3 linked regions of the Pelodiscus sinensis genome follow. The protein of the gene in region 1 purifies or fractionates together with the protein of each later gene. This does not show direct contact. Links are inferred from orthologs where the notes say so. Each region holds a gene or a part of one and is shown in the gene's direction. Other genes may lie near its edges.

Region 1 (10,887 bases):
CCACCACAGTCTGCTCCCACCTGGAGCTAGTGGGCACTTGCTAGCATCTAGGGCCCTTGTCTCACAAGCGGTGGAGAGCCCTGGCAGGTGGTGATGCTGCTGCTGCTGTGCTAGCCTCTGATGGCAGCATGAAGTAGGAGGTGGGGGAGTGGGATTTGGAGAAGGGGGAGGGGAGTCTGTCTTGCCAGGCCTCAGGCAGGGGCATGCTGGGACCTCCAGCTGTGCATAGCCACCCCCTGGCCCCTCCTGTTTTTCTGTCCTAAAAGTTTGCCAAGACCTAACTGCTAATTCAGCAGGGCCCGGTTGTAGCAGTGCTCCACCACCTCTGCCACATCCCTGATGGAGCCAATGCCCCAGGACAGCAAAACCTAGTGCCACAGCAGCCAGCTCTGTCTCTGCAGGCTGGGCTTTCTCACCGCCCCCTTCCCCCATCCTATGCTCAGCTGCTCACACTTCCCTCCTCCCCCCCAAGTCAGGCAGCTGCTAAACAGTTGGGTTTTCCCACTCAGGTTCACTGGGAGCTCTGCCCTTGTCTCCCTGAGTGTCTGGCAGAGAGCCACAATCCATGCATGAATGGTCCAGGAACATGTCCCATAACTCCCATTGGTCACTGCTGAGTCCTGAGCTCAGTGATCCTGCCTTTGCCGAGCGTGAGGCCCACGCAGGCCATGAGCAGGGCACCCTAGGCCCCAGCTGAGTGCTACAATTATCAAGAGAAGGCAGTGACTGCCTCCCTCTCTTCCCTTTGCCCCCTGGAGTGCCACTGCCTCTGCCAATGGGCACCCCCACTCTGTCCTAAAGAGCCCACCGGCACCCAGCCCTCATGGCTCAGACAGGAGCAGGGCAATGAGAAGCCAGATGATCTCCTCCAGCCACCTGCTAGCAATAAAGCCAGTTGTCACTGGCAGCCAGGCAGAGCCCCACACACGCACCACCTGCCAGGCCACCTCCCATGAATTTCCTAGTGCCCTCCATGTTGGCCTGACTGGGTGAAAAGGAAAGTCATTGGGCTAGGATAGGTGGCACCCACAGGCCTGCCCAGCTTCCCCAGGAAGATGGTTATTTGCTGGCTGAGTGTGTCGTCGCTTTGCTTCCCCTGCCGTCACAGGGAGGCTGCAGAAGGGCCCCTGAGCCACGGCCACTGGCTGCCGCAGAAGTGCTGCAAGCAACAGAGTAAGTGTCCAAGGCAGTTCCTGCCTGTGCAGTGGGTCGCTCATCTGGTTGAGCCACTTCCTTGGAGGGTCTCAGGTAGCGAGCTCCAAACAACTGGTGCTTGGGGGCCAGAAGTCCTGAGTCAAATCGCCATGGCAGGCAGGTGCCCCACTGCAACACCCCCAGCAGCCCAGCTGTTCCCTGCAGACCTAGCCTGTCCCATCCATGCTCAGGCCTGCCCTAGGCCGGAATCTCTCACTTCTTGCAGTCTCCCAAGCACAAAGAGCTGCAGCCACCGCTAGCGCCACAGAGGAATCTTATGTTTGCTCAGCACTTTCTACCTTTGCATTTCAACGTGGCCTGTTCAGTCCTGGCTCTCCCCAGAGCTCCCTGGGCTCTGAGCCTTGCAGCTGCAGCAGGCTGGAGGTGGCACCTAGGCAAGGTCTGGGGGCTGGGCATGGATTGTCTCCCAAGCATGCACGCTAGGCACTCCAAAGCTCTGGTATCCCCTCAGACTGGGCCGGCTGCCCCAGGAGCATGAGGATGAAGGGAGCTGCCCAAGGCCCATGTGATCCCAACACACATTTCCATAGCCAGAGTCAGAACATTCTAGGCCACCCCAATCCCCATGGGAGCCTGTGGGGTCCCCATCTCTCTGTGCCCCCACAAATAACTCCCCACACCCCCCCAGCTGTGTGGTGCCCCAGGGAGCTCTGTATCTCTGCTGGAGCTGCACGAGCAGGACTCTGTTCCAGTACATGAGGGATGGAAGAGGCCTAGGCCTGCCCTCTGGGCACACAGGGCACTGTAAATAATCCCTGGTGTGTTTAAGTGCGTGCCTCTCCCATTTGGTTTGTGCACACTGTCCATGTTGGGATCATTGTCTGGGGTTGGGGAGAGACCCCTGTTGTATTTGACACATTTTATTGGGGGAGCTGTCCCCCCTTTTTTTGGAGTTTTTTCATTAAATAAACTGGTGTTATTTCTTAAAAGGTGTTTATTTAATCAGTTTGGGTCTGTTCAGTCAGATCCCTGCAGAGGCTCCCCAGGCCACGGTATAAGGAGTAAGGGGGGGTCAAAGCTGGAAGCCAGGACTCCAGGGTTCTCTTACAGCTTGAGCCCCATTAGCCCAAGTCAGCTAACACGCGCCAGATATGGGGCTACGTCTACATTGGTCCCTTTTCCGGAAGGGGCATGTTAATTTCAGCGATCGTAATAGGGAAATCCGCGGGGGATTTAAATATCTCCCGCGGCATTTAAATAAAAATGTCCGCCGCTTTTTTCCGGCTTTTAGAAAAGCCGGAAAAGAGCGTCTACACTGGCCCCGATCCTCCGGGAAAAGCGCCCTTTTCCGGAGGATCTTATTCCTACTTCAAAGGGCGCTTTTTCCGGAGGATCGGGGCCAGTGTAGATGCTCTTTTCCGGCTTTTCTAAAAGCCGGAAAAAAGCGGCGGACATTTTTATTTAAATGCCGCGGGAGATATTTAAATCCCCCGCGGATTTCCCTATTACGATCGCTGAAATTAACATGCCCCTTCCGGAAAAGGGGCCAATGTAGACGTAGCCTGGGTGTTTCACTGTGGCATAGACATACTCTGTGTGACATGGGCCATTGTGTCTCACCCTAATAGACATGTTCTCACAAGAGGCTCCTGGCCCTGCTGGGACAGGCAAGGAGGAAGCTGGAATGAAGAAGTCTCTTCTCTTGGGGTGCTAGAAGCCATGGATCTAAAGTGTGACCCCCTCTATGTGATGGATGCCAGGCACTTGGTTGCAGTTATTGTTCAAGCTGGGGGGGGCTGCAGTACCCCAAGCACCAGAGCCCCTGCCCCAGTTGGTGTGAAGGGCCTGGCCTTCCCCCACATCCACCCCATGGTATCATCCAAGCACCATCCTGCTGCTGGGTCCCATTACCAGCTCTTGCTCCTTCCCATTGTCTTAGGGCTGCTGCCATTTTTCAGCCACATGTGCTGGGTGCTATGTGATGAGGCTGCTGCTCTGAGGGAGGTGAGACTGACTGGGCCTCAGCTCCATGGCCTGGGGCGACTCAAGATAATCGTTCCAACTTGGCTGTGGTGGAGAATTGCAGCTGAGGGAAAGTGCTCCCCTCTGTGCCAAAGTGAGAGACTCCCCTCCAGCTGCAAGAGAGCCTGCCCCTCCCATCATACTGTGGCACCCACGCCCACCTACACCATGGTGGGCCATGTATGGCAAATGCCTTGGGAGCTGCTGCAGCCTGTTTTGTCCCAGCCCAGAGCAACATTAATCCCAGCCTGCCCCAGGGGCTGCCAGTTTGGGCCCTGCATCTTTGCTCATTCTACCATCACACTAGCCCCCTGCATGTGAATTAGGGGCTGTCAGAGAGACAAATGACTTGGGTGCTGGTAATGTAGTCATGGGGACAAACCATTGCTGTGGCAGTACAGGCCAGTGTAAGCCATGGGTATATAAACAGAGGAGCCAATAGGAACAAGGAGGGGATTTTACTGGGAATCTGGCATTGGTGACACCCATCCTGGAACAATGTGTCCAGTTCTGAGGGTCACACTTCAAAAAAGGATGTTGAACAATTGTAGAGAATATAGAAAAGAGCCACACAAATGACTTGCCTGGGGGAGCTGTCTGGTTGAGAGATGACTTGATTCAGGTATATAAACACTTTCCTGGGAGAAAATACTGGGCACAAAAGGGCTCTTTAACCTAGCAGAGAAAGGCAGAACAAGAACCGTTGGCTGGAAGCTGACTCCAAACATATGAGAAATAGGGAGCCAGGGGATTAACAGAGTGAGTGGTGGATTCTTAATCTCTCTACGCTGGCATGATCTTGCGCAAGAACTCTTCCAGAAGAGAGCGTCTACACTGGCATGTGCGTTTGTGCAAGAGATGTGCTTGTGCGCAAAAGCATCCATGCCAGTGTAGATACTCTCTTGCGCAAGAAAGCTCTGATGGCCATTTTAACCATGGGGCTTTCTTGTGCAAGAAATTCATGTTGCTTGTCTACACTGGCCTCTTGCACAAGAACAGTTGTGCAAGAGGGCTTATTTCTAAGCAGGAGCATCAGAGTTCTTGCACAAGAAGCACTGATTTCATACATTAGAACGTCAGTGTACTTGCGCAAGAACTCGCGGTCAGTGTAGACAGGCAGCAAGTTTTTGCACAAAAGCAGGCGCTTTTGCACAAGATCACGCCAATGTAGACACAGCCTTGATGTTTTACAAATCCAGACTACCCCTTTCTGGAAGATGCATTAGTCAAATACAAGTGAGTCCCTGGTTTGTGCTGTACATGAGGTCAGATTAGATGGTAACGTGTTCTCCATGACTAAGAAAAGAGGCAGCAGGGAGGAAGTCAAGAACTTGGTTTTAGCTGTGGAGAGTTAGAGAGTCACAAGGTGATGACAGAGACAGGCTAGGATTTCAGAGGAGACAGGGCAGGAGCAGAGGGGTAGATCCATGAGTCAGCAGCACAAAGATGACAATTGAATTTGTGTTTGCAGATGAGATTACCCAGAACAAAGGCAAAGAGGGCCAAGGGCAGAGCTCTGGGGAACACCCACAGCTAACTAGAGAGGTGGAGGTGAGGAGTCTCTTCTTAAGACACACAAGGAATGGTTAGAGTTAGGAGGGGAGCTGGGAGAAGACATTCATGGAACACAGAAGAGAACAAGATTTCAAGAAGAGGTACATGGCCAATGGTTTTGAAGGAGGCTGCTAGTTGAAGGACAATCTGGCAGGAATAATGGTTCTGCATTTTGGCTAAGAGGTCCGTAGAGACTTTGGGTGAGAGCAGTTTCATGGGAGTATGTGGGGTGGAATGGGATTGGAGAGGGTCTAGATCACTTGGGTACATCAACACAGTAGCATGTACCTTGAAATAAGCTATGCAGTTTGAGCTATGCAAATTGCGTAGCTTAATTTGAAATTTGGCGCTGCCTACACAACCCTAATTTTGAAATAAATCACTATTCTGGCATCTTCCTTCATCTTCATGCAATGAGGTTTACAGGAAGATGGAATAAGAAGCCCAATATTTCAAAAGCATTTTGAAATAACAGGCATGCTGTTAGACACACATTACGCTATTTCGGCTTAACAGACATACCCTTGCAGAGGAACTCTGCACAGTGAAACATGGCCAGGGACTGACTTGTGTGGGGGAGCTGTCTTCTGCCACCCCTGGAACATCTACTCAAATCTGGCTACATAATGAACCTTTGAAGAATCCCAGTTTGCACATGAAACTTCCTAGAAGCTTTCCAGCCCTATTCTGGGTGGATTCTGACCACACTGAGCATGATCCAAATGCGGGAGGGTTCAGGCCTCTCCTTATTGGAGGCTGCAGCGCTGGCAGTGAGAGCAAGGGACCTGCCTTTCTTGTGCTCTGAGTGACCCCCACACCCCAGTCTACCCAGGCATCACCCGGGAGGAAGCTGCTGATGCGAAGGAGCCAAGAGCTGGAGCAGGGCTGGGGTAGAGAGCAAGGAGGACACTGGCCCAGTGAGCTGGGCTGGAGGGAGTCTTGGGACTGGGCCAGCACGTTCTGGTTTCTGCTTCTGGAGCCAGCATGGAAGTCCCCGGGCAATGGGACGGGGGGGGGGGGGGGGGGGCTCTGTTGAGAAGCCGGAGAGCGGCCCGGGCTGGAGGAGAATGGTACCTGCACGATGGCCCGGGGCTGGGAGAGACAGGCCCGGGCGAGCCGAAGGGATGAGGCTGGTCTGCGCCCCCTGCAGCACCCCCAGCGCCCCGCACCGTTTGTCTGGAGTCTGAGCCGCGTCCCGCAGGCAGCACCCGGCGCGTTACCCGTGCGGCATCCCCGGGCTCCCCGCCGCGCCTGGAAGCCCCAGTGACGCGGGCATCGGCCCGTGCTCCAGGGCAGCCTCCCCGGCCTGAATCATCAGCCCCGCCCCGCCTCACGCTGCCGGGAGGGGCGGGGCTAGAATCCTTCGCACCCCTCGGCCCGGGGCGGCACCGCCCCTTTCACACCCTCTCCCAGGAACGTTCTGCGCCTCCCCTTTAAGGTGCGGCGTTTCTGCCCGCCGGATACAAAGTAGCCCCAGGCCGCTTCCCCTTTACGGTCGCTGGCGGGAGGGGGGGGAGGGGAAATCACGTGGTGTTACCGCAGGGGCTGCCGGGTAGCGATGGGGCGGGGCGGGATGGGGCCGGCGGCAGCAGCAGATCGGGACTGACACCGGGAGAAGGGAGAGAAGGGGGCGGGGCCTGCTGCAGGTAGGGGCGGGGCCACGGGCGGGAGGACTCAGGGGGAGGGGGGACTGTCAAGCGGGGGGCTGGGCCCGCCCCTCTTTGCCGAGCTGGGGGGCTTGTTGCAGGGCTGCGGGGGCCCGAGTCCGGCGGGGCCCTGGAAGGGCCCGGGGGGCGTGTTGCGGAGGTGGCTCATCTCGCGCGGCGGAGCGGGCTGGGGGATATGACAGCGGGGAGGGGGCTCTGACGTAGGCGGGGGGAAGGGGCTGCACATCTGGCCTGTCCCAGTGCTCTGAGCGGAGGTGGCCCGGTGTGGGGCATGTGTCTGGCGGGGCAGTGGGCATGGGGCCTGGCCCCGCCCCCGAGCTGGCTGGGGCGGAGGGGACCCAGAGGTTACCTGCGATCGGGGGGGGGGGGGTATGGTGCACATCTGGAATGGCCTCGGGGAGGGCACTGGGGCGGGTTCCCACGCAGCTGGCGCGGTCCCGGGCAATGCGGGGGGGTTACTGGGCCGGGGAGTGGGGGCTGGCCCAGAGGCCCCCCCGCACCATGGCTGCCCGGCCGGTGCCGATCCCGCCGCTCCGCTCGCTCGGGCTGCAGGGGAGGCGGAGCGAGCGGCGGGCCAGTGGCGCGGAGGGCGCATTGCGGACTTGGGCAGCCGGGCAGGTGAAGGACGGGACGGGGCGGGACCGGGGCAGCGAGGGGCGCACGGGGTGCGGTGGCTGGAGGGGCCGTGCCCGGGTGGGCGCACGGGGTGCGGCGGCTGGAGGGGCCGGGCCCGGGGCGCTGGGGTTTAAGGCTGGAGGGCAGGCTCAGGGCCGGGCGAGTCGGATTCGCAGGGGAAGCTCGTCCGGCCGGGGGGCTCCGGAGTGCGCTTGGCGCGGGGGTGGGGAGACATGGTGCGGTCTGGGAGGAAGATGCAGGATGCGTTGGGGCTGTTTCCCCGTGCATTGGAGGGGTTGGGAGAGATGCGGGATGCAGTGGACGGGGGAGCTGGAACAATTTGTACAGTGGGGGTCCTGAGAGCTGAACTGTAGACCCTCTGTATGATAGAAACAACTCCAGGCCTGGGGGTGCAGCAGCACCCCACCAACCCCTAGTTACAGCACCTGTAATGCTGGGGCAGTTTCAAGGTGCAGTGGGGGTCAGGGATGCAGGGTGGGCTAGGACTGTATCAAGGTGCAGTGGGGGTGAGGGGATGCAGGCTGTGCTGGGGCAGTTTCAAGGTACAGTGGGGGTCAGGGATGTGGGGTGCGCTGGGACTGTATCACGGTGCAGTGGGGGTCAGGTTTTGGGGTGCGCTGGGGCAGTTTCAAGGTGCAGTGGGGATCAGGAATGTGGGGTGCACTGGGACAGTTTCAAGGTGCAGTGGGGATCAGGAATGTGGGGTGCACTGGGGCAGTTTCAAGGTACAGTGGGGGTCGGGAATGTGGGGTGCGCTGGGACAGTTTCAAGGTACAGTGGGGGTCGGGAATGTGGGGTGCGCTGGGGCAGTTTCAAGGTACTGTGGGGGTCGGGAATGTGGGGTGTGCTGGGGCAGTTTCAAGGTGCAGTGGGGGTCGGGAATGTGGGGTGCGCTGGGGCAGTTTCAAGGTGCAGAGGAGGTCGGGGATGCGGGGTGCACTGGGGCAGTTTCAAGGTGCAGTGGGGGTCGGGGATGCGGGGTGCGCTGGGGCAGTTTCAAGGTACAGTGGGGGTCGGGAATGTGGGGTGCGCTGGGACAGTTTCAAGGTGCAGTGGTGATCGGGAATGTGGGGTGTGCTGGGGTAGTTTCAAGGTGCAGTGGGGATCGGGAATGTGGGGTGTGCTGGGGTAGTTTCAAGGTGCAGTGGGGATCGGGAATGTGGGGTGTGCTGGGGCAGTTTCAAGGTGCAGTGGGGGTCGGGAATGTGGGGTGCGCTGGGACAGTTTCAAGGTGCAGTGGGGGTCGGGAATGTGGGGTGCGCTGGGACAGTTTCAAGGTACAGTGGGGGTCGGGAAGGTGGGGTGTGCTGGGGCAGTTTCAAGGTGCAGTGGGGGTCGGGAATGTGGGGTGTGCTGGGGCAGTTTCAAGGTGCAGTGGGGATCGGGAATGTGGGGTGTGCTGGGGTAGTTTCAAGGTGCAGTGGGGATCAGGAATGTGGGGTGTGCTGGGGCAGTTTCAAGGTGCAGTGGGGATCAGGAATGTGGGGTGCGCTGGGGCAGTTTCAAGGTGCAGTGGGGATCAGGAATGTGGGGTGTGCTGGGGTAGTTTCAAGGTGCAGTGGGGATCAGGAATGTGGGGTGCGCTGGGGCAGTTTCAAGGTGCAGTGGGGATCAGGAATGTGGGGTGTGCTGGGGTAGTTTCAAGGTGCAGTGGGGATCAGGAATGTGGGGTGTGCTGGGGTAGTTTCAAGGTGCAGTGGGGATCAGGAATGTGGGGTGCGCTGGGGCAGTTTCAAAGTGCAGTGGGGATCAGGAATGTGGGGTGCGCTGGGGCAGTTTCAAGGTGCAGTGGGGATCAGGAATGTGGGGTGCGCTGGGGCAGTTTCAAGGTGCAGTGGGGATCAGGAATGTGGGGTGCGCTGGGGCAGTTTCAAGGTGCAGTGGGGATCAGGAATGTGGGGTGCGCTGGGGCAGTTTCAAGGTGCAGTGGGGATCAGGAATGTGGGGTGTGCTGGGGCAGTTTCAGGGTGCAGTGGGGATCAGGAATGTGGGGTGTTCTGGGGCAGTTTCAAGGTGCAGTGGGGATCAGGAATGTGGGGTGCGCTGGGGCAGTTTCAAGGTGCAGTGGGGATCAGGAATGTGGGGTGTTCTGGGGCAGTTTCAAGGTGCAGTGGGGATCAGGAATGTGGGGTGTGCTGGGGCAGTTTCAAGGTGCAGTGGGGATCAGGAATGTGGGGTGTGCTGGGGCAGTTTCAAGGTGCAGTGGGGATCAGGAATGTGGGGTGTGCTGGGGCAGTTTCAGGGTGCAGTGGGGATCAGGAATGTGGGGTGCGCTGGGGCAGTTTCAAGGTGCAGTGGGGATCAGGAATGTGGGGTGCGCTGGGGCAGTTTCAAGGTGCAGTGGGGATCAGGAATGTGGGGTGTGCTGGGGCAGTTTCAAGGTGCAGAGGGGAAAAGGAGGTGGGGCAGCAGAGAACAATCTCTGTGTGGACGATTGGGAGTCCTACCACCCCGCCCCAGCGCTGTGCAGGGAGCCGCTGGCTGAGTAACTCCTGAGGCCTGGACCGCATTGCGTCGCTAGGGTTTGAGCTGTCGGCCCCCCTGGTGGGGGAAGCTGGAATAACATCCTGGGAATCAGAGGTCATTTGAGAGAAATGAGGGAGCCCGTGTGCCCCTAGATTGCCTTGTGCTCCCCTTTCCCCTACTTCCCCTACTCGTCTCACCAGCCAAGTGAGGCCCGAGATGAAAGGGACATGGGGCAGCATCAAGGATTGATGTCTGCTGGTTACATTTGAGGGTGCAGGGGAGTCACAAGGCGGGTTCGAGTCCAGCTTTAGGAGGGCAGTGAGTTGTAGTGGTTTGAGAGAGTTGGGAGCCAGCACTTCTGGGTCCCATTCTGAGGGGTGGCTGTGCTGAGACCCTGACTGTGTATTGTGAGGTGGGGGGAGGGTATCTGGTTGTGCCGGGTTCCTGTCTTATAGCCCACTCCCCACCACTGCAGGAGCCCAGCCATGGCGACCATGGTGTACCCGCGAGAGGAGAAGCTGAGCCAGGATGAGATCGTGCTGGGCACGAAGGCTGTGATCCAAGGGCTGGAAACGCTGCGCAGTGAGCACCACTCCATTCTGGCCACCCTGCTGGACCCCAGGAACTGCCTGGACAAGCAGCATGAGCCCAGCACTGTGCAGGAGAAGTCCAGCCTGCTGCGCAAGTCACTGGAGGCCATCGAGCTGGGGCTGGGGGAGGCCCAGGTAAGGCCTGGCTTCCCTCCCCAGCTCAGGGATGTGATTGGTTCCAGTTGTAAGCAAGAGCCAGGACACCTGGGTTCTATTCCCAGCTCTGGGACAGGAGTGGGACCTTGTGGGTTAGAGCCGGAGTGAGGCTTTGAACCAGGATTCCCAGGTTCAGCTCCTAAATCTGTCATTGGGAACGTGACCCTGGAGACAAGTCCAATTTCTCTCTGAAAAGGAACAGTGACTCCCCGCCCAGGGGCAGCTCTGTCCAGTGTATATATAGTGTTAGGGCTGTTGGAGGGTGGGGAGGGCAGGAGTTCCTGTGAGGGAGAGGGAGGCTGGTGTTAGGGCGAGGGGTGGGGAGGCTGGGGAATACAGGGAGGCAGTGGCTGGCAGGGGGTCGGGAGGTCACGGGACAGTGAGGGCCAGGGCCAGTGGGAGAGCGGTGGCTGTGGGAAGCAGTGGGTGCCGGGGGGCAGGGAAGGGCTGTGGTTGCCTGGGGGATTGGTCCCCATCTTGCACCTCCCCACAGGTGATCATTGCTCTGTCGAGCCACCTGAGTGCGGTGGAGTCTGAGAAGCAGAAGCTGCGGGCCCAGGTGCGGCGTCTGGTGCAGGAGAACCAGTGGCTGCGGGACGAGCTGGCGGGGACCCAGCAGAAGCTGCAGCGCAGCGAGCAGG
Region 2 (10,367 bases), on another chromosome or scaffold:
TGGCACACAGCAAGGCACCCTGCTGACTGAATCACCCCTCGGTTCCTTCTTGCTGGCTACTCCGTCAGAGGGGAAGACGGGTGGCTCTAGACTAGATATGAGTGACACATCTCAAAGAATAACAGTTACAAAGGTGAGTAACTATTTTTAATTCTTTGAGCACTTTCTCATATTGGTTCCAATTTGGTGATTCACAAGCCTTACCAAGGGGGATGGATCAGAGTCAACGAGTTGCTAATTCAAGCACTGCAATGCCAAATGCCACATTTTGCCTGGATTGATGTGCGATGGGAAGGTATGAATTGAGGACTATGTCACAGCTCTACAGAGGACCTGTAGTGGAAGGCCACCAAAGAGGCTTGTGCATGGGTGGAGTACACCGTGACACGAGGCAAGGAGACCTTGGCCAGGTCATAACACACTCGGGTGCAAGCTGTGATCCAGGAGAACATATGCTAGGACAACACTGGCAGGCCCTTCATGAAGTCAGTCACTGCCGTGAACAGTTGAGAAGACTTCTGAAACTCATAGAAGCAATCCTATTGATATCCAAGTGGGACTACGTGCTTTGCTAGGGCAGGGCTGGCAGCAGCAAGAGCGTGGGCCCATAATAGCTGCACCTGGAGCTACAAAGGCTCTCGGCAGGCAAGACTCGACATCATCCCAGAGAAATCTGTTCAAGGGGGAGAATGATGTTCATAATAACCATGGACAATAAAAGAAAGCTTAACACAAATTGAAACTGACCTATTACTAAGCTTGGCCCAGCTTGCAGAACAATCTTTTGCCCTGATTCTGTAAGCTGGTCGAAGCGTGTGGCCTCAGCAGGCTTTCACCAGTGAACTTTTTTTTATCAAGGTGGCTGCAGTTATTTGCCTGCAGAGAGCCACTGCTGCTCTGCCTTTCTGATGATGGCCTAGGCCTTGACTCTGAAAACTGTTGGGCATGTGCTTGGATAGTCTCGTGACACGCATATTTGTGTGAGATAATCTATTTGGATAAATCCTGGTCCCCCTACAGAGTCTAACTAAATGGAGCTGTGCATGGACACGGAGAGTGGGGGCTGGGAATGGAGAGAGGAGATTTACCAAGCTGGAGCTCGCTGCAGCAAGTGACAGAAAGGAGACTGGACTTCTTATGGAACGGTGAGATAGGACCAGCTCTCTAGTACCAAGATTAGACCTTTGTCCTTCTGGATTGAACATAAGCAGAGCCATCCTTTCCCATATGCAGAATATGCAGCTACGTAGGTCAGGTTCTTAGGGTGTGTCTGTGTTCTGTGGCTTTCCTTCCACCAGAGCAGATCTAGTTAACTTAAACATGGAAAAGCCTGACAGACCTATTAGCAGACACTGAAACTGTGAAAGAGACATTCAGGTGATAATGAAGCCATTTAATCAGCAATTGCCAACCCCATGTATCTATTGTTAGTTTCTGGATTTACTGTGTTAGTCTACGGGACCTTATTTTTCAAGCAAATTTTAAACAATTTCATTAGCATGTTGCTGAAGATTATAAAATCACATCTCTCTAAAAAATTGTCAAACAGTCCCCCCCAGTTGGCCATAAGGGCATCAGTTTAATAGTACTGGGTAGGGCTCCATAAAACTTAAGGACGGCCCTGAACATAAATATGAGCACCCTCTTACATATCTCACAAAAGAGAAAGAACAGGATCTTACCCATGCTTCAGGATAGGGCTCTGTCTAATGCTCCTAAAGGTCTTTGCAGTTCATCAGAGAATATAGCAGGCTTCATGTTCTAGAGCAATGTAGAGCACTATATTAGTTCTGCAAGGGTAAATATTGAGCCTGATTCTATTTACCTAATTATTGTTCCTAATAGGAATATGGGAGAAAATAATGTTGTTGAGAATATATTCAAGTAAGACTGAACAAGGACTGGCTGTTTTGTGACAATACTATATAAAAGTAAGAGGGAAGCTTTATAGTACAAAGTTTGCAGAAGAATGTGTCGTCTTATGGGGTGGGAACTACAGTCTTCCTAATGAGAAACTAAAAGCTGGTGCTGTTTGCTTGAAAATGGTCCCTTAATGAAAAAAAATGGGAATAAAAATTAGTCTGAACAGCCTTTAACAAGACTCCTCACCCACTGGTCATGATTTGTAAATATGCAGTATGAAGCTAGTGAAAAGCTTGAAGAATAGGGGCAGGCACATTAATTAATTAATTAATAATCAGTAGGAACTAATCACACTATACAGTAATAGTCTACCACCTGCTGCACTCTGTAAACTACCTTTGATCTAGTTGCTTTTTTTTTTTCAGAAGTGTATGGGAGCCCACACTAAATTGCCTGCTGAGTTGATGTCCTCGTGCCATAGTGAGGTTACAGAGACGTGAAGATGAATCTTGAAGGAAATGCAAAAGAGTTGAACACACTCTGCCTCCCTGTTTGTGTGACTCAGCCTCACATTAATGAAAGCTGGTAGGAATTCTGTTTGAAGAAAACTGACCACAGAGGTTAAGAGTCAGCAGGTAGGCTTAGGTAACAGCTCCTACTTGCCAGTGAACAACGATTCGTGCTTACATCATTCAGCAGCCATGATGAACTCTTTTGAGCAGTCTGAGCATAAGACATTTGCTTAGCTTGTGATTATTGTAAAGCTTGTTTGCTTTTCTGAGACTGAAGGTAGCAGAGCCTGAAATGCCACCCTTTGTAACCATACACATTTCCTGTCAAGCAGAGATTCATTTACCTCTTGCCTGATTGCCTAAGCATGTTTTCCTGTCAGGTATTGTTTAAGCAGCAACTGATGAGACTTATCAGGCTTCTCTCAGTTAGGTACCCAAGCATCCAACATTAGCACAGATATTTCATTTAAGCCTCCCACCATCTTAGTCTTTCTTAGGGATTAATTTTGGCCTTATAAAAGTGTGTGAAGTTCTTATTGAAATCCAGAATTGTGAGCACTTATGTGAGGGCAGATTTGACTTCTATGCTTTCAGGCTTTTTGTGTTAGTATTTCACTTTTTTTTTTAAACTCTGTGACAAATTTCACATACTGGTGATGGAGATCTCAAGGCTATGTGCATGTATGTTAATGGATACCATGTGATGAAAAGAGTGTTAGGAGTTTCCTAGTTTTTTGTTTTGTTTTAGATTCTTCATCACACAAACACACACAGATTCTTTATAAAGAAATCAGCATGGTAAACATTCTGGGATTAAATTTCTGCTGAACGTTTTTGAAACATATGTATTTTGCTTTTTGTTGACATTAATACGCTCTATTTGCACTGACAGAATAGTTGCAATATATTTGTTGTGGGCACTCCCAGCTGTATACTGGATGGCTTAGTCTTGTGTAGAATATATAGTGGCAAACTATTGGAATGGCAGAGAGACTTCCTTCCTCCTATGCAACTTCTTGAGTGTTTTCCCCAGTCATATCTTTGTCCTCTTCAATGCTATCCCTTATACTTGAAATTCTGTTCCAAAATCTTCGTTACATATAAAGGACTTCTAACACATTCGACTACCACCCTTTGTGCATTTTGTACTTGAATGTACTTACCTCTAATTAACTTCCAAGATGCTTTAGACTAGAGACCAAGATGTCTGTGTTGGTACAGAAGTTAACATACTTATGGGACTCATCAAACTACTACAGTTGATTGGTAAACTGGTAAATTGGTATTCAGCTTGGGGGAAGGGGCTCTAGGGTGGGACTAGGGTTTCAGGACTGGGACAGAAGATTGGAGTGCAAGTGCTCTGGCTGGGATTTAGGCTCTGGAGTGAGGCTGGGAAGTTTGAATGGCAGGAGGGAGCTTCAGGTTTGGGGAGAGGAGTTGGAGAGAGTATAGTACAGACTCTGTGCTGGGGCCAGAGATAAGGTGCTCATGGCTGGGAAGGGCTCAAGGTGGGGTAAGAGGCTGGGCTTTCCTGAAGATTCCCTGCTGGGGATGGTGAAGAGGGGCTAGGAGCTGCCAGGAGCCTTTTCTCTCCCCCTGCCCCAGCCACCAGGGACCTTTTCCTCTCTCCTCCCCCTTCAGTCTTGTGGCAGGCAAGAGGGTGGAGTCCCAGCCAAGTTTGCCCCACTCTTGGTGGTGTAGCTGACCCCAGGCGTCTATTTGCAGTATAGCTCTTCCCTCTGGCCTCGCTGTTGCCAGTGGCCACTGTCAGAATCACACCTCTCCTCTCTATCCTCTTCCCTTTCCATGTTATGGAAACCATTCCCAGCATTTTCTGTTTCCTTGGCACAACCAAACCCTGACCATACTGTAAGTTTGGTATGCAGCATCCTCATATCCTAACCTCTTAATGTTCTACCTCTTAATGGTCCTACCTCTTAATGTTCAGGAGGAGTTCTTGAAGAAACAGACTCAGAGGCCGACAGATGCCCATTTCTAAAATATTTAGCTAGATATGCAAAGAGTGAACACACACTTCCCAGTCAGTCTTATTTTATAATAAAATCACAACAAACCAAGAAGGAATAAAAATAAAGCATGCGAAAGTACAGAGTGTGTGTGCCTCTCACCTGCATTTAAAACTGCAGTTCACAGACCAAGTCATAATATTAATAAGCCCCATGTACACGACATCCCTACTTTATGTCTTCCTGGTATAGATCTGTTTCACACTAAAGTCATTGACGCATGTAGGAACAGATGCATTAGAAATCCTCCTATTCCCTGCTCTTAAGTCACGCGCAAAAAACCAAAAAACCCCAACCCTCCTCCCCCCAAAAAACCCCGATTTGTGCAAATGGAAGTCAGGGTGGGGGGAAAAATTCCCTGCTTTAAGTTGTTTTGCTATAAGTCCAAGTTTTTTGGGACATATTTTGGACTTACAGTGAGGATGCCCTGTACCATCTGGCCCATTCCCCTTTTTTTCCTGTCTCATTTTTATTTAAGTATAACTAGGGTTTCTGATTTTAGGATTTAATTAGCAAAAACAGGAAAACTATTATTAAACACACACACACACACACACTTTTTTTTAGAGCTTTGAAAATCTTTAGGAGGTAGGGAGAGGAGTTATGAAAAATAATTCTGAGCACTCAATCCTTGTTTAGAGGGTATAATGTTAATGCAATTAAGTAAAAAGGTTATGATTGGAAATTCAAGACCCAGAATAAAAATAGAGCGGGCTTAAAATGGAGAAAGTATGTGCATCCTTATGCACCACTTTTGGGGAAGGGGGAGAGAGAGAGAGAGCGCGCAAGAGCTGTGATATTTTGAAACAATTCACCCTGATCTAAAGACCCACTGATTTCCTCCGAGCGGGGGGAGCTGTAATCGGTTTACAAATCTGCGCCTCCCGCCCCACCCCGGCTCCCGGCGTTTAGTCAGGGCCTCCAAACACAGCGGGGCACGGCTTGTTCCTTTCCCGGGCCGTGCCGGGCCGCGCCCGCACCTGTGCGCGGCGGCGAGGACTACATCTCCCGGCATGCTCGGCTAGCGGCTGTCCCCGGGAGCCCGAGCTGGGGAGGGGTTGATGTAATGCGGCGAAGCCACCAACCCTCTGGGGGAGGCGAGGGGCGGCGGGCGCTGCCGGGGCAAAGGCAGCGGCGCTTTGTGTTTGCTGCTGCTACAGCCGCGCCGCGCCGCACGGGGGGCAGCCCCGCCCCAGCCGCGGCTCCGCCGGTGGATGCTCGGCGCGGGACGCTGGCCGCGGCGCTCCCTGGCTCCCCGCGCCCGCGGAAGGGGGAAGAGGCTGCGGGCCCGGCCCGGCGCAGAGCTGGAGGCGCTAGGCAGGCTGCTCGCCGCTCGCCGCCCAGCCCCCCGCCGCGATGGCGGACCCCGCCGAGTGCAGCATCAAGGTGATGTGCCGGTTCCGGCCCCTCAACGAGGCGGAGATTCTCCGCGGGGACAAATTCATCCCCAAGTTCAAAGGCGAGGAGACGGTGGTGATCGGGGTAAGTCTGGGGGGGGGGGCGGTACTGAGTACCCGCTGCGGTACCGAGCATCCTGCGGCCGCGGCTCTGCAGCCCTGGCACCAAGCCCCGGTCCTCCCCTGCGCGGCACCCCCGGCCGGTCCCTGCCGCCTCCCTTTGTTCCCGCTCCGGGCCGGGGGCTGGGTGCAGGGGAACCCGCTTCCCCCAGGCGGGAGCAGGGGCGCTTCGAGGGCATCTCTTCCCCCCCCCCCCGCGTCCTTCCTTTGGCTGGGGGCTTATTGTTCCCCTCCCGGCCCAGCACCGCTCCCAGGTGGGTGGGTGGGTGGGGGGGGCGAAGTTCCTCGCAGGGGGAGGGGGCGGGTGGCACTAGCCTGCTCCGCACACCGCGGCACGAGGCCCGTTACCTGCCCGGGGCTAGGGCGGGCGGCAGTGGGCGCTCACTCTGCTGCGCTCCCTTGTGGGTACCTGGGGGGGGGGGGGGGGACAGGAATCGAGCAGAGTCGGCTCGACTCCCACTTGGGCTGCAGCCTCCCAGCCCCCAGCCTGGATGAAGCTGATGTCATCCCGCTCACTGGGCATGCTCGGCTCTCCCTGGCTCGGGTGGGACCGCGTGATTGGCAGGTGACAAACAATTTAGGGGAGAAGTTGCAGCGCTCGGGGCGCTCCCGGGTTGTGCTCCGCCTCGGCCTCTCCCCGGCGCGCGGGGTGCCAAGCCGCCTGGCGGCAGGTGGACGGGGAGAGATGTGCGGGCGCCGTGTGCGCTGCGCCCCTTAGCCCCTCGCTGTCACCTAGCAGGAGAGCGCGTTGCGGCAGCTCTTTCGCGGCAAAGTTTCTTCCCTCGAATGGATTGCAGAGCCTTGGCTACGGGTCTGCGTGCGCCCGGCGCTCCGTGCGCTTTGTGGGGCGCGGGGTCGAGGCGAGGTCGGCGATAGTTCTGTCGCATCCGGTTGGCATTGTCTGCCTTCCAGCCAAGGGAGGCGCGGGAACAAAATACAGTTTTGCAGTGTGTAGTTGCTGAATCTGCCTTGTGCTTAAAGCCATCAGTGCTTCTGTGCCATGCGTTGTTGATAGCTGCACACTAGGAAAGATGCTTTTGGAACATAGTTACAGATTCCAGTAGAACAAATAGTTGAGACCGATTGTCTGGGAGCTCAGTGTAGTAAAAATCACTTTGTGCGGGTAAGTTGGTGGTAGTTTGATAGAATGGATTGAAACCAGTCTGGGATGAAATGTTCATCCTAATATAACTAGGTCTACCTGTGGTGCTTCTTTCTACCACAAAGCCTAAAATATATATATTTAAGCATCCATTCGCTAATCTGGATCCCAGTGATAACTGATTTCTGAACATGATAATATTCTTGTTCCTCAAGCATATCACACTGGGAAGTAACTTTTATAAAGGCCAAAGGTTCTGTAACCACTCAGTAGAACAGGGCTACTCAAGATGCAGCCTGTGGCCTGCTTTTTGTGGCCCATAGCACGGTGCGGGTTCAACATGCAGCCCGCCGATGGTAGCTAAAACAAAAAAATAGTCAATATAATGGTCTTCTGTTGATATACATTTTAGTAGTTAAATTCCTGGACTGTCATTGCTCATTAAAAGTGCTGTCATGTGGGTGGAAATAGGTAAATATTGCATTTTATTAATATCAGCAGAACCGACTTAAATGGGGCCCCTATATTGTGTAGTCTTGCCTTTAATCTTTGTATTCATGTCCATCAGTGTGAAAGAAGCAATTTGCATATATATGCAACCACACTTAAGTTGCGTCCCTTGGCATGTGCTGTGAGTATCATTGTGATCCCCAGGGCTTCCAAAGTTGGGTAGCCCGGCACTAGAACATATCAAACAGGACCACTAAAAAGATATGTGGTTATCTGGCTCCTTGTAGATTCTGGGAGTCGGGACCCAACTCTCCCACAAATTATTTGCTTATCCTGGCTGTTGTTTGTCTGGGGCATGCTTGCAGTGAGTTCTTGGAGCTGAAGGTTTCCAATGGAGGTTCCTTACTTTGGAATGGGCGCCTTTTGTCAGTCTGCTAGCATGTGGCTTTGGTGATATTCAGTGCATCAAGTCGGCAGGGGAGAGGAACCTTTTTTGGATTGGGGGGGGCCACTGAACCACAGAAAAATCAGTTGGGGGACAAGTGAGAAGGCAAAATCCAAATCCTCACTGAGAGAGACACTCCCCACGTTCTCCTTGCACACCAGAGCATAGGAGGAGTGCAGGCTACTAGATTTTGTGTGCTCTAGCTCTGTGGGGAAGCAGCGGGGGATCTGGAGCATCAGCGAGCCTCAGAGGCCGGATCCAGGCAAGCAAGGGTTGGCATCTGGCTCCTGGGCCTTAGGTTCTCCATCCCGATGTAGGCCATTTCTGTTTGAGCTTGTATTGGTTATTGTCTGGCTTGTTAGATTTTCCCTGCCCACCACCCTCCCCCCCATTCTTTGTTTTCTGTTTTGGCCTGCAGTGATCACAGCCCTTATTTATGCTACTCATTATAAGGTTTATTTTTATAACCAAATACTTAGATAAGTGCTCAAGATCAATAAATGATAAGCCATATAAATGTCTACCTGGTTATTAACAAGATTCTTATTTCAACTGCTTACAGCTGTCAGAATTTATTGGAAGGACAAGCACTTTTTCATGAGATCTGCTAAATGATTAATGAAAAACTGAAATGTTTTGAGAGAAACATTATAGCAATGTCTATTTCTCTTTTTTTAATTATTGAGGGCATTGCATCAAAACAGGATATTTGCTTTCTGAGCAGATAAACTCTCATTCCTTGTGTTGTGTTGTAATCATAATAATCTCCACCACAATTAGTCTGTCAAGCAGAGGATTATGACTTCAGGTCACGATGAATGTTTAGAATGAAGAAGAAATAACTGGCAGATGAAACCTTATGAAAGAAAGAGCTTCTTCCATGCAAATGTTGGTGATCTTAAAACACACACACACACACACACACACACACACACACACACACACACACACACACACAATATGAAAACAAAGGTAGAATTATTTAAAAAAAATTAAAATCTATTTGACTAAATCAGTTCACAGATAAGTTGAATGTAAAGTCAGTTTTTTTTTTTAATGAAAGTGAAATCGTGTCCAAATTGTAATTCTGGGTATAGCACATCTCTGTAGTCCTTTGGGAAACATTGCATTCAGTTTAAGATGATTCAGCTGAAGAAAGTGCTCAGAGCATTAGCTGCACTCTCCAAAGACAAAAAGGAAAAAACAGGTATTTTCTAGTTCTTATGCACTGGATGTCATAGTCTCTAATTCATTACATGTAAAAATTGTTTGTTTTTTTCCCCCATCATGTATAGCTTTTGGTTTGGCAGGAAAAATCTTCAGCACCTTTTCTTTATCATCTTTGAAAGCTTTTCTTATCCAGGATCTTCTTCCTTTCTCCTTCTTGTGACATAAGCACGGACTGGGAAGAAGATCCAGTGATATCCAATAAGGTTTAATTTTCTTGGTTGTAAGTCAGTTGCATTAAACAGACAAAAAACTGTATCTCCTGATTGGGATTCATTACCATGATAACTGTGAGAAATCAGCTAGTTCTATGGCTTGAGATGGACTGCATGTATGTATAGTTTTTTAATTATAAACATGCATAAGAATACTTTCACACTTCAGACATTGACCTTAATGGGCACTACTGTAATACACCATTAATAGAAGGTATAACTAAAAACGAGGAGTCCTGTGTCACCTTGGACTAACAAAATTATTTGGGCAAGCATTTGATGAAGTGGATTCCAGCCCCCAATAGCTTATGTCCAAACATATTTGTTATGCCACAACACTCTTCATTGTTTTTGCTGAAACAAACTAACCCAGCTATCTTCTCTGAAACTCCTCGGGATATATTATTAATCTTCATTATTTAGTATGTCAGATTTAATGCACAGATCCAATAATTAGCAATACTTACTGAAAAATACTGTTTTTTGATAGAAAATGTTATTAGCATACTGCTTATTCTAGAAGAGCACTGATTTTCTTTAACACTTATAAAGTTATTAAGATGGAACTGCAAAGCTAAACGAAATAAATCAACCACAATTTAAAGATGTCTTTTTTGTTGCTTTTTAAAGGCCTCAACTTTTTTTAAGTCCAGCATCTTTTTCTTCAGCAATATCAGGATTAACTTTTCTATGGGAAGCCTGAAAAACTAGTGGAATTTTGTTATCATAAAAGTTACAAGACTGAAACATGAATAACTGAAAGGAGAGAAGATGTCTAATCTTGAACTCTTTGAACCATTACATAGAGTTTTTCTTAACTCAGGCTCCTCACAAACAACTGTGGGGAAAATGCCTTTTTTTGTGAAATATTCAACCTAATGCCCTCCTGCTACACTCTCCTACAGGTTGCACATCTCTGGTCCGACACTTCCGGTCTGACGTCTTTGGTCTGGTATGGTTTTAGTTAGCTGAATGTCCACTTATCAAGGATGTGGCCAAGTTTCTTGCG
Region 3 (10,151 bases), on another chromosome or scaffold:
AGTACCTTCTAGACCATCCTTGATAGATTTCTATTTAACCTGTTCTTAAATATCTTCAGAGATGGAGATTCCACTACCTCCCTAGGCAACTTATTCCAGTGTTTAACCACCATGACAGGAAGTTTTTCCTAATGTCCAACCTAACCCCCCCTCTCCCCCGCTGCAGTTTAAGTGCATTGCTTCTTGTCCTATCCTCAGAGGCCAAAGAGAACAATTTTTCTTCCTCCTCCTGGTGACACATTTTTAGATACCTGAAAACTGCTATCATGTCTCCTTTCAGTCTTCTCCTTTCCAAACTAAACAAGCCCAATTCTTTCAGACTTCCCTCATAGCTCATGTTATCTGGACCTTGAATCATTCTTGTTGCTCTTCTCTGGACCTTCTCCAATTTCTCCACATCTTTCTTGGAATGTGGTGCCCAGAACTGGACATGATACTTCCAACTGAGGCCTAATCAGTGTAGAGTAGAGCAGAAGAATGACTTCTCATGTCTTGCTCACAACACTCCTGTTAATGCAGCCCAGCGTCACACTGTTGGCTCATATTTAGCTTGTGGTCCACTATGACCCCTATATCCCTTTCTGCAGTACTTCTTCATAGACAATCGCTTCCTATTCTGTATGTGTGAAAAGGCTTGTTCCTTCCTAAGTAGAGTACTTTGCATTTGTCCTTATTAAACTTCATTTCTCCAGACCATTTCTCCAGATTGTCCAGATCATTTTGAATTATGGCCCTATCCTCCAAAGCAGTGGCAACTCCTCCCAGCTTGGTATCATCTACAAACTTAATAAGCGTACTCTGTATGATAACTGATGAAGATATCTAAATAACTGATGAAGATATTGAACAGAACCAGTCCCAAAACAGACTCCTGCAGAACCCCACTTGTTGTTCCCTTCCAGCATGATTGTCAACCGTTAATAACTACTCTCTGAGAATGATTATCCAGCCAGCCACCTTATAGTAGCCCTAAGGTGTAGTTGCCTAATTTATTGATAAGAAGATCATGCAAGATCATATCGAATGCCTTAGTAAAGTCTAGGTATACCACGTCTACTGCTTCTCCCTTATCCACAAGACTCGTTATCCTATCAAAGAAAACTATCAGATTGGTTTGGGAGTAATAACCATAAAGAGAAAAGCTTGTTGATTTTGCTGTTAGTAGTGTATTTGCTTTTGCTTGAAAATTGATAGCAGAAGAAAAGGAATTTACATTGTAACAAATGATTTACCTCTATGTTTTTAAGCACATGCTTACTTATAAGCACATGAATGGCCATATAAATGGTTAAAGTTACATTTATGTTTAAAAGCTTCAGAGGGATAGCCCAGTCTGTACAGGATAAACTTAAAAAACAACAAATAGAATGGTAGCACTTTAAAGACTAACGAAACATGTGGATGGTTTATGTTTAAGTAACTAATCACAGTTCTGAAATTATAAACAAACATAAACAGGCTCTTTTATTTAGAAACTAGACGATTTACCTAGCATTGCTTGGGTCCTTAATTCAATTATTTGTGCTTTTTGGAAAATAAAACGGAAATGTATATGCTCCATTTAAACCATTGCTCTGGGGTGGGGGTGGTGATGAGGCTGCCCCGGGGAGTGAAGACTACCCCCAGACTCCTCTCACAGAAGCAGCTTGGGGGCCAGGTGAGAAGTGCCTCTCCATGACTGCTGCAGCTCCAGTTGGCACAGCTGGGAGAGGGGTGCATGTCCTCCAGCTGGGGCAGGTCCAGATTCATCTGCCCCTGTGCTCCCCAGCCACAGTGAGGAATGCAGCACTTTCCCCTTACTCCCTGACAAAGGGGAACAGTTACTGCATCAAGCCTTGTGCCCCATTTGACTGTATTCACACCCTGTGAATAATAATTATTGCATAGAGTACTTACGTGTCTGGGAGGTGTAGCTGTTACTGTCCTGATTAAGACGGTATGTTCCTGCAAAGGTTTCAACTAGAGCAGAAGGATGGGCTTGTTACAACATGATCTTGATTGAGAAGACTGCAAACTTGCCTCACAACACAGAACTAGATTTTAACAAATTATGTCATGTATTAAACTGAGAAACAGCTGTGGATACACTGGGATAATTGGTAATATTTAGAATAATTCCCAGTTACATGACCTAGGATGGGCTAGCACAATTATTGGGACTGCTCAGTGTCTGAGTGCACCAAACCTTAGGGTACCAGTTGCATGCACACACACACTGCTATTCTGAGGCAAGTATTGTAGGTTCTTCAGCAACTAGACCTTATAGACATTACCCTAGTGAGTCCCCATAACCACTCAGACACATGGCTACGTGAAAAGGGCTGGCAGGAAAGCCGCAGTTTGCAAATACCCTAGCTACAGAGGCTTGAACAGTTACCATTCAAAATGAACAACAGTTTTTGGTTGGGTCACTGGGGCGGTCCACTTGAAGAAGTCAAGGCTCTTTAGCCCTGCTCCACTCCAGATTTCATTCAAGCAAATAGGAACTTCCAGGTTTGCAGGCAAGGTTCAGTTAATGCCTCTCATTGGGTCCCTCAGTACTGGCGCCCTAACCAGTTTCTGCTGCTCCCCCAGACCTGTACTCTACTCTCACATCTGGCAGTCACAACCTGTTTCACACACAACTCTGTCTTCATTTCCTGAGGACTGGTCTACACTAGGGCTTTGTCTATACTGCTGGCTTTGCTGGCTGTGCCTATGCAAATAAAGCGCAGATTAGCATATCTCCGTGCCTCATTTGCATAATTTGTTCAACCCTTTTTGTGCAAAGGGTTTTTGCACAAAAACAAGCAGTGTGGACAGGGTTTTTTTTTTGCAAAAACCCTGTTTTGAGCAAGATCCTTATGCCATTCTAGGAGAAGTATAAGAATCTTGCGCAAAAAGGGGTTTTGTGCAAAAAAGGCTTAAATAAATTATGCAAATGAAGCACGGTGATATGCTAATTCATGCTTCATTTGTATAGGCACTGCCGGCAAGTCAGCAATGTAGACGTAGCCTAGGAGTTTAGGTGGAATTTAGTTGCATAAGGAAATTTTCTAAACAATGAGTCCACACTGCCAAGCCCGTTTCTTCAACTTTAAGAGTTACTAAAGTCAATTTTGGTACTCCTGCTTTTCATGAAGAGTAATTCTAAATTCAACCTTGCATGGTCAACTTTACTGTAGTGTAGTCCCAGCATTGTAAAAGTAGATGTTCTTGGCCTCTTGGAGGCATCCCACTGTAATGGCTCTGGTCAGGGCTTGTGACTCTATCACTCTTCAGGTGAACAGAAAAATCCCTGGGAAACTCTGAATTTAATTTCCTGTGTGGACAGCATGGCAAGCAGATCTCAGAGCAGGCAGCATACTTGGGCATGAGTTCCATGAGTTCAAGTTTCATGAGCTTCAATTCTCATTTGTGCAGATGAGTACCAGCATGGAGCATGAAGGAGATCTTGGACTTCAGAGATGCATGGGGAGAGGAATCAATTCTCGTGAAGCTCTGAACCAGCATATGTAGCACAGATATCTATGCGAAGTATGCAACTCCATGGTGGAGAAAAGATACACCAGGGATGCCCAGCAGTGCTGTGTGAAAATAAAGAAGCTGAGCACAAGACAAAGGAGGAAAACGAATGGTCTGGGGCATCGCTGCAAACATGTCGCTTCTACAAGCAGCTGTATTTGACACTGGTGGAGACCCAATCAGCATCCCAAACCAGACCATGGAATCCTCCCAAGACACTCATCAGGGTAGCAGTGTGGAAGACAGCAAGGAGGAGAAGAATGGTCAGCAAGCAAGTGGGTAGTTGATGTGACCAAGAACCAAGAACTTTTTATAACCTTAGAGATAATCCCTTCCTCCCGGGACATCTCACAGTCAGGCACTGATGTAAAGGAGGACCTTTCCAATGAGTTCACATTTTTTATTTGCTACCAGCAGATTAAAGCAATTGGCTGTGCTCCGTGCCTACACAGTGGGGTGAACCTGGAACAGATTCTTAACATGTCCGGAGATGGAGTGGGAATCTCCCCTGCACAGCTCCAGAAAACTCTTGTACAGTTAAGTCTTTAATCCGTCTCACAAAGTTTCTGGGGAGGCCAGCCTTATTCCATACTTCATGGTAGGGCACGTTCCTATGCCACACAACCAGAAAGTGGTCCGGTGGCATTGCAGCACAAAGCATTGCAGCGTAAGAACTAGGTTGTTGACCGCATTTAGTCAGCATCAGCTCCTTATCTCTGTGTGTAATTCAGAGAAGACTGATATCTCACATGGCAACCTGGATGAAGGAGGAGAAGCTATTAGCTGCTGCTTTTGCTACTAACCTCCATTTGCCCATCCCCGGTGAAGCACGGCTGCAGCTCTTGAGGAGGCTTCGGCCCCTCCTCTAGTCCTCCCGCCTGCGGGCTCTTGCAGGAAGGCGAAAAATAATACTCTTCTGGCAAGCAGGTTGAGCCAGACAAAAAGGAGGGAATTGGCATGAACTGCTGCCCCGCCCCACTGCCATGAATGAACCCTGTTCTCCTTCCTGCCTTCAAGATGGTGCCCTGGTAGGCCCCTTATCATGCCTGCCACCAAACTGTGCGAGTTCAGATGCTCCAAGAATTCTTGTGTGCCTGCTGCACTGTTAAAGTCTTAGTCTTCACCACTTCCTCTGGCAAGGAGTTCCCCAGGTTGACTGTGAACTGCATGAAGAAAAACTTCCTTTTGTTTGTTTTAAACCTGCTGTTTATTAATTTAATTTGTCCAGAAGCCACATAACTTAAGGCTTCCGATCACAATTTCAGAGGAAAATTATTTTGAACTGATAGAAAACCACAGGGACTCTTCATGTGACACCAATGCCCAAGGTTTCATTTAGATGGCAGAGGCATAGCTGGGTGGATCTGTGATCTCTGAAAGCCATGGCTTAATGTCATTTTGTGATGCTAAAAACAATGACACAAAACAGAGCCCTGGGGTGTATTTTGAAAGGAGGGTGCCTGCTGGGGGAAGCCTTTGAGGGTCGACTCAGCTACAGAGAGGGTAGCCCTGATAGGCTCAGCGCCTTGTGAATGCTCCGCTAGCAGCACCTCCCTGTCGCTTGCTCCCCAACTCCCTGCCCCTGAAGGAAGGGCGCCCCCCGCTGCTGCTGCGACTTCCGATCATGCCCTCCACATGCCTCCCCCCGTCGGCCTCCTTCACCCAATGACTGCGTCTGCGCTACAGCGGCGCCCAAAGACAACTTGTGCGCCTGCGCAGGAGATTTTTGCATACGGCAGTGACCATGTTTTCATCTCCTCCCGCCCTACACAGTGAGCGCTTGCGCAATGCAGCTCTTCGGTTGCTGCCGCGGCGCTGTCCTCGATGCGCGCCTGCGTGGTGAATTTGAGGCGGGGAGGGGTAGGTGTTCTCTGCGGCGAGTGACGTCACCCCCTCTCTGCCTTGCTGTCGAGGCTGCTTCTGCCAGGGGAGGGCAGGGCCTGGACTCGCCGGCTGCAGGCGCCGCCATGGCTGCCATATTGGGGAGGAAGTGAGAACAGTAGGCGGCAGCGGCGGCCAGGCAGGAGCCCTTCCCCTCTGCCCTTTGCTCAGCGAGGCGCTGCTCTGCCGGCGGCGGCCGCTCGCAGGACCCCGGAGTGAGCGGCGCGGAGGCAGCGGCGGCCGGGCTAAGCGCCCCGGAGGCGGCGGCGTTGGCCTAAGATGGCGGACCCGGCGGAATGTAACATCAAAGTGATGTGTCGCTTCAGGCCCCTCAACGACTCCGAGCGGAACCGCGGCGACAAAGACATCACCAAGTTCCAGGGAGAGGACACCGTCATCATCGCGGTGAGCGCCGGGGCGGGCTGGGGAGGGGGCCGGATACCCTGGGGATGGGCGCGGTACGAAGGGGGAGGGCTCGGAGGAGGGGATGGGGAGCTGGAGGAGCTGAGGGGGCCAGACAAGGGGAGCAGCTTCGTGGGGGTGTGACAGGGCAGAAGAACGAGCAGGACAGGCGCAGGGGTTGGCCGGGCGGTGTGTATGAACTTATAAAACTGCCTCCTAAGCAAAACCTCCCTGCCTCACAGACCTCTTGTAGAGCTACTGACAGCGCTAGAAACTTTGGGCATGACTTTACGTGGTAGTTTTGAAGTGAGGTAAGACCATACGGTGAATGGGGACAGAAGAAAATGTTCAAAAGAACTAGACTTTTTTATGTAACCTAATTAAGGTTGGCAACTAAGGTAATGCCTAAGAGAGACATTACCAGAGTAACTTGCCCACTGAATAGTTTTGGCAAAATAAAATCTATTGAGTGTGTTTTGTGATCAGTCCACCAACCAGTGGGTTAGTGGCTAATACTTTGCCCAATAAAATAGTCAAATTATGCCTTTGTTTTTTTCACACACAATTATAATTTTAATTTAATAAAAATTGCTTACTGCAAAATAGAAGCTTGATGCAAAGAGATTTGGTTGGTATCCTGAAAAAGATAATTCCAGCAGTGCCAGTTTGTAATGCAGCTGCTGTAGAATGAGTTATTAACTTTATGGTTTAACTCTCTATTTCACTTATAGTAACTGTCTTCTGTGGTTTCATTGGTATTTGTTGATAAATGGGTTGCACAGAGAGAGATTTTTTTCATGTTTCACACATTCTTAATCTGCACATTCAGATGAATAATTTGCTACATGGAATCAGAATTCTGCATTTAGAGAGGAATATAACTTTAAAATATACTTTACTGATGTTTGTTTAGATTTCAGATTCTGCACACTATTATCTTTTTGAAGCAACCCAAATTAAACAGTTATTCATAGCAGCTTAACCTGGAACTGGAACAAATACATAACAGTAAATAAAACTTGTTAGAAAATTTCATATTTATAGTACAAGGCTTTAAAGTATTTCTTAAATTCAGTTTTAGGAAAAACTAATGCATTGCTAATGGAATATGCAACCTTTTGCTGTTTCTGATATAAATGCAGTTCAGGTTGGTAGTGAGTAGGCCACTGAAAAGTAAACAGAATGCTCCTGAAATGAGCTGTTGGCCCATTCAAGATCAGATTGGTGCTGCAGACCTCATTAATTCTCATTGTTTCACAGAAGCCTTGTTCATCATTTAGCTAGACTGTTAGCAAATGCAGAATATGACTAAGCTGATGTCACTATCAGAGTAAGTACACTAACTCTCATGCTTGGTCCAGAGCAGGGATGGTCAATAATTTTCGCTGGGGGGGGGCACTTAATGAATTTTGGTATGTGATCACAGGCCGGCTTCACCCCAAGGGTAGAGATTGGGGCAGAAGGGACAGAGCTCGGGACTACCTTTTCCCCAGAGTTGTCTGGGGCCAGAGACTTTAAATTAAAATCACTGCAAAGGGCTCACAGTTCCCAGCCCTGCTGTTACCACATTGCCTGACAGCTGCCCAGGCTTGCTGTGGCTATTTAAAGGGCTCACTGCTCCAGTCCCTGCTGGGGTAGCACTATAGCCGTGATCCATTTTAAATAGGATCCTGCCGCGTGAGCCTCTGCCTGGAAATTCGGTAGCACAGGCAGCAGAATATAAATAGAAAGCATCCACACACAGTCTGTGGGCTGGGTCAAAATGTTAGGTGGGCTCAATTGGCTCCGGGCCACATCTTGGCCAGCACTGGTTCTGAGTATCCATTCATACAAACACCATGTTGTCCCCTCTGAAATCAAAAGTTGTAAGGTCCGTTCCTGAGATGTATATAATTTTCTAGGTGATAAACTGTCTATTAATTCCCAATTCTCTAACCTTCTGGAAACTACCTTTTGGACCAAAGGGCATCATTGCTAATAGGGCAGGGGCTTGATATTCATGGGGAGGATTCATGGTTTAGATTTCATATAATAAAAGTGAGAAAATTTGAAGTGGACACTCGGAAACATTACCCATGTAGTGTAGGTAGCCGCCTTTTACAAACTGGGAAAAAAAGCTGATTGTTTTGTTCTTGACAACTTTTTACCGCCAAAGCAAAAGCTAGAATTTTTCCTGGGTAATGAAGAAAACATCACAATAGTGTGGGGTTTGCTTTTCTAGTAAGATTGCAAAATAACATCTGAGTTGGGCTAGCCACTCACTAAGTAAGTGTGAGGTGAATTAGTCATTCTCCTTAGGGACCAGGTGGGGACAGTTGACAGTTGGTAAGGAATTAACATGCATTGTAATTACTACTTTAATAACCTTATGCTTCTGCAATAGTGATGGCCCAATGTAAAACATTCAGTAGTCATAGGGATTTGATACCAGTGACAGTCTTTTAAGTCTTATCTCACTGTTAGTCCAACCACTGGGACTGGAAACAAATGCTCTTTACAGTGAATATGTTGGAATTCCCATCATTAAGCATTTTTGCTTTGCTCCTGAGATATGGCAAGATTCCAAAACATTCTCTGAGATAAAATTTAGTTTGAGAGTTCTTTTTGTTCAAGAACTCCTAATGCTAAGAGCTAGCATCACTAAATTTGATATGCAGCTGTAATGCTGAAAGGTGGAACTGAACCTGGGACATCTGGAGCTTACTGCATGAGCCATGACAGCTTGAGATAAAAGCCAGCTGGCTTTCAGCTAAGGCCATAGAACACCTCCATTTTTCTGTCTATAAGTGGCCTGAGTGTGCCACTACGTAGGACCATACACCACACTCAGAAGGTGTGTGGGTTACGCACCTCTTATCCTAACTTAAAACAAGGTCAGGGTTTGGTTGTGGCTGGAATCTGTTTTCCATCACATGGAAAGGGAGGGAACTGATAGTAGGGACAGTTATACTGCAGAGTGCCCACAGGGAAGTGGCCACACCAGGAAGAGAGTGACCAGCTGGGGCTTTCTCTCCCCCTCTCCCTCCCTCCCCTCCTCCTCCCCCAACAAGCTGGGGAAGAGCAGCCCAGCCCAGCCCTCCCCTCCCCTCCTGAGGAACCACTGGTGGGTGGGGGGGCAGCTTCCCCACATCCCAGGAGCCACCATCAGAGCAGTGCCATTTTTGCTACCACAGGAGTCTCTGGTAGGCCTCCTTCCTAGCCCTGGCCATAAGCCTCCTGGTCTGACTATCCCCGCCACCCTGAATCCTGCACCCCAAACCCTGAGACCTGATAATCCAGCCTCCGCCCTGAGCTCCCTGGTCTGAGCCTCACCCTGAATCTTGCTCCCCATCCTGCCCTGACCACCTCCCCCTCCTTCCCCTAAGCCCCCTGCTAGTTACCAAATACAATTTAAAACTAATACTTTTTGCACCTTTCATGGCCATTCAATTTCTATCTAAGGATGGGTCAGTCAGGATTTGCAGAATTCATGGATACCTAGTTGCCTGAAGACTTCACCTACTAGCCTCTTTGAAATAGTTTGTCAGCCACACCCCTGAAATAGCCTTCCTAAAGCCATTCTTCAATTAGCTCCATGCAGGGTATATCAATTTCATGCATTTGTTTTCTGGCTTCTCTTCACCATTCTAAATGGTGATAATTGCCTGCCAATCGTTGAACTAGGATTCTTCTTCACAGTGTTCACCTTAGAGAAGAAGCTAAATCCTCTCAATTGGCCTATAGTATTTACTACAAGTCCTCTGCAGGCCCATGCTCAAATATGGAGAAGATTGTCAATTATATACCTAGTAGCATTTTGAAGAGTTGCTCCTAATGTCAGGAGAAATGGTAAGACAGGGAATAAGTTAGGAGTCAGACTGGGAGCAAAGATGCTCTCAGCTACTCTTGTGTGGATTTGTCTGCCTCTCTAATTGTACATACTTATTCCTTGGCTTCCCATTCCTTTCTGGGGAAAGTAGCAATAACTTTCTCTTTTCCTGGGCATCTATACAACTACAGGCATGCTTGTTATCCTGGGCAAGTGCATCTTTTAGAGAAACAATTTATTGTAATTGTAGATGTTATACAGTGTTCCCTGTAGGGATGCAATAGTGTAGTTGCAGAAGCTTAGAGGTTGATGCTACAGACTAAATGCATTCTCTCTCTCCTCCCTCCCTCCCCCCTCCCCCTCCAGGCCAGTGGCCTAGGTCCTGGCTCATGCCGAGTCCAGGACCTACCCCTTCTGTGGCTCTATATTTAAAGTGTATTAGGAGGCAGGTAGGCAGCCTGACTCAGCTCCAGCTTGTACTGGGTCCAAGAGCTCAGCCCCCTCTCCCCCAGACAGTAGCTGCTGCCACCCTACATTGCTTCCTCCATTTCAGAGC

What was found.
Region 2: the proteins of KLC2 (region 1) and KIF5C purify together in Homo sapiens (affinity purification with western blotting; 3 studies listed by BioGRID and IntAct, with this or other methods). This does not show direct contact. The link is inferred for Pelodiscus sinensis from reciprocal best matches to the Homo sapiens genes KLC2 and KIF5C.
Region 3: the proteins of KLC2 (region 1) and KIF5B fractionate together in Homo sapiens (co-fractionation; 7 studies listed by BioGRID and IntAct, with this or other methods). This does not show direct contact. The link is inferred for Pelodiscus sinensis from reciprocal best matches to the Homo sapiens genes KLC2 and KIF5B.

Annotation. Positions count from the first base shown.
Region 1 is NC_134721.1:32,085,553-32,096,439, reverse strand, and holds the start of KLC2 (kinesin light chain 2), read left to right. Parts: upstream 1-6,247; 5' UTR 6,248-6,377; intron 6,378-6,410; exon of another isoform or gene 6,411-6,537; intron 6,538-6,717; exon of another isoform or gene 6,718-6,742; intron 6,743-6,808; exon of another isoform or gene 6,809-7,016; intron 7,017-9,975; 5' UTR 9,976-9,985; coding exon 9,986-10,225; intron 10,226-10,739; coding exon 10,740-10,887. UniProt on the Homo sapiens protein: Kinesin is a microtubule-associated force-producing protein that plays a role in organelle transport. The light chain functions in coupling of cargo to the heavy chain or in the modulation of its ATPase activity.
Region 2 is NC_134717.1:26,171,002-26,181,368, forward strand, and holds the start of KIF5C (kinesin heavy chain), read left to right. Parts: upstream 1-5,661; 5' UTR 5,662-5,758; coding exon 5,759-5,884; intron 5,885-10,367. UniProt on the Homo sapiens protein: Microtubule-associated force-producing protein that may play a role in organelle transport. Has ATPase activity. Involved in synaptic transmission. Mediates dendritic trafficking of mRNAs.
Region 3 is NC_134712.1:229,671,847-229,681,997, reverse strand, and holds the start of KIF5B (kinesin-1 heavy chain), read left to right. Parts: upstream 1-5,445; 5' UTR 5,446-5,664; coding exon 5,665-5,790; intron 5,791-5,941; exon of another isoform or gene 5,942-6,098; intron 6,099-10,151. UniProt on the Homo sapiens protein: Microtubule-dependent motor required for normal distribution of mitochondria and lysosomes. Can induce formation of neurite-like membrane protrusions in non-neuronal cells in a ZFYVE27-dependent manner.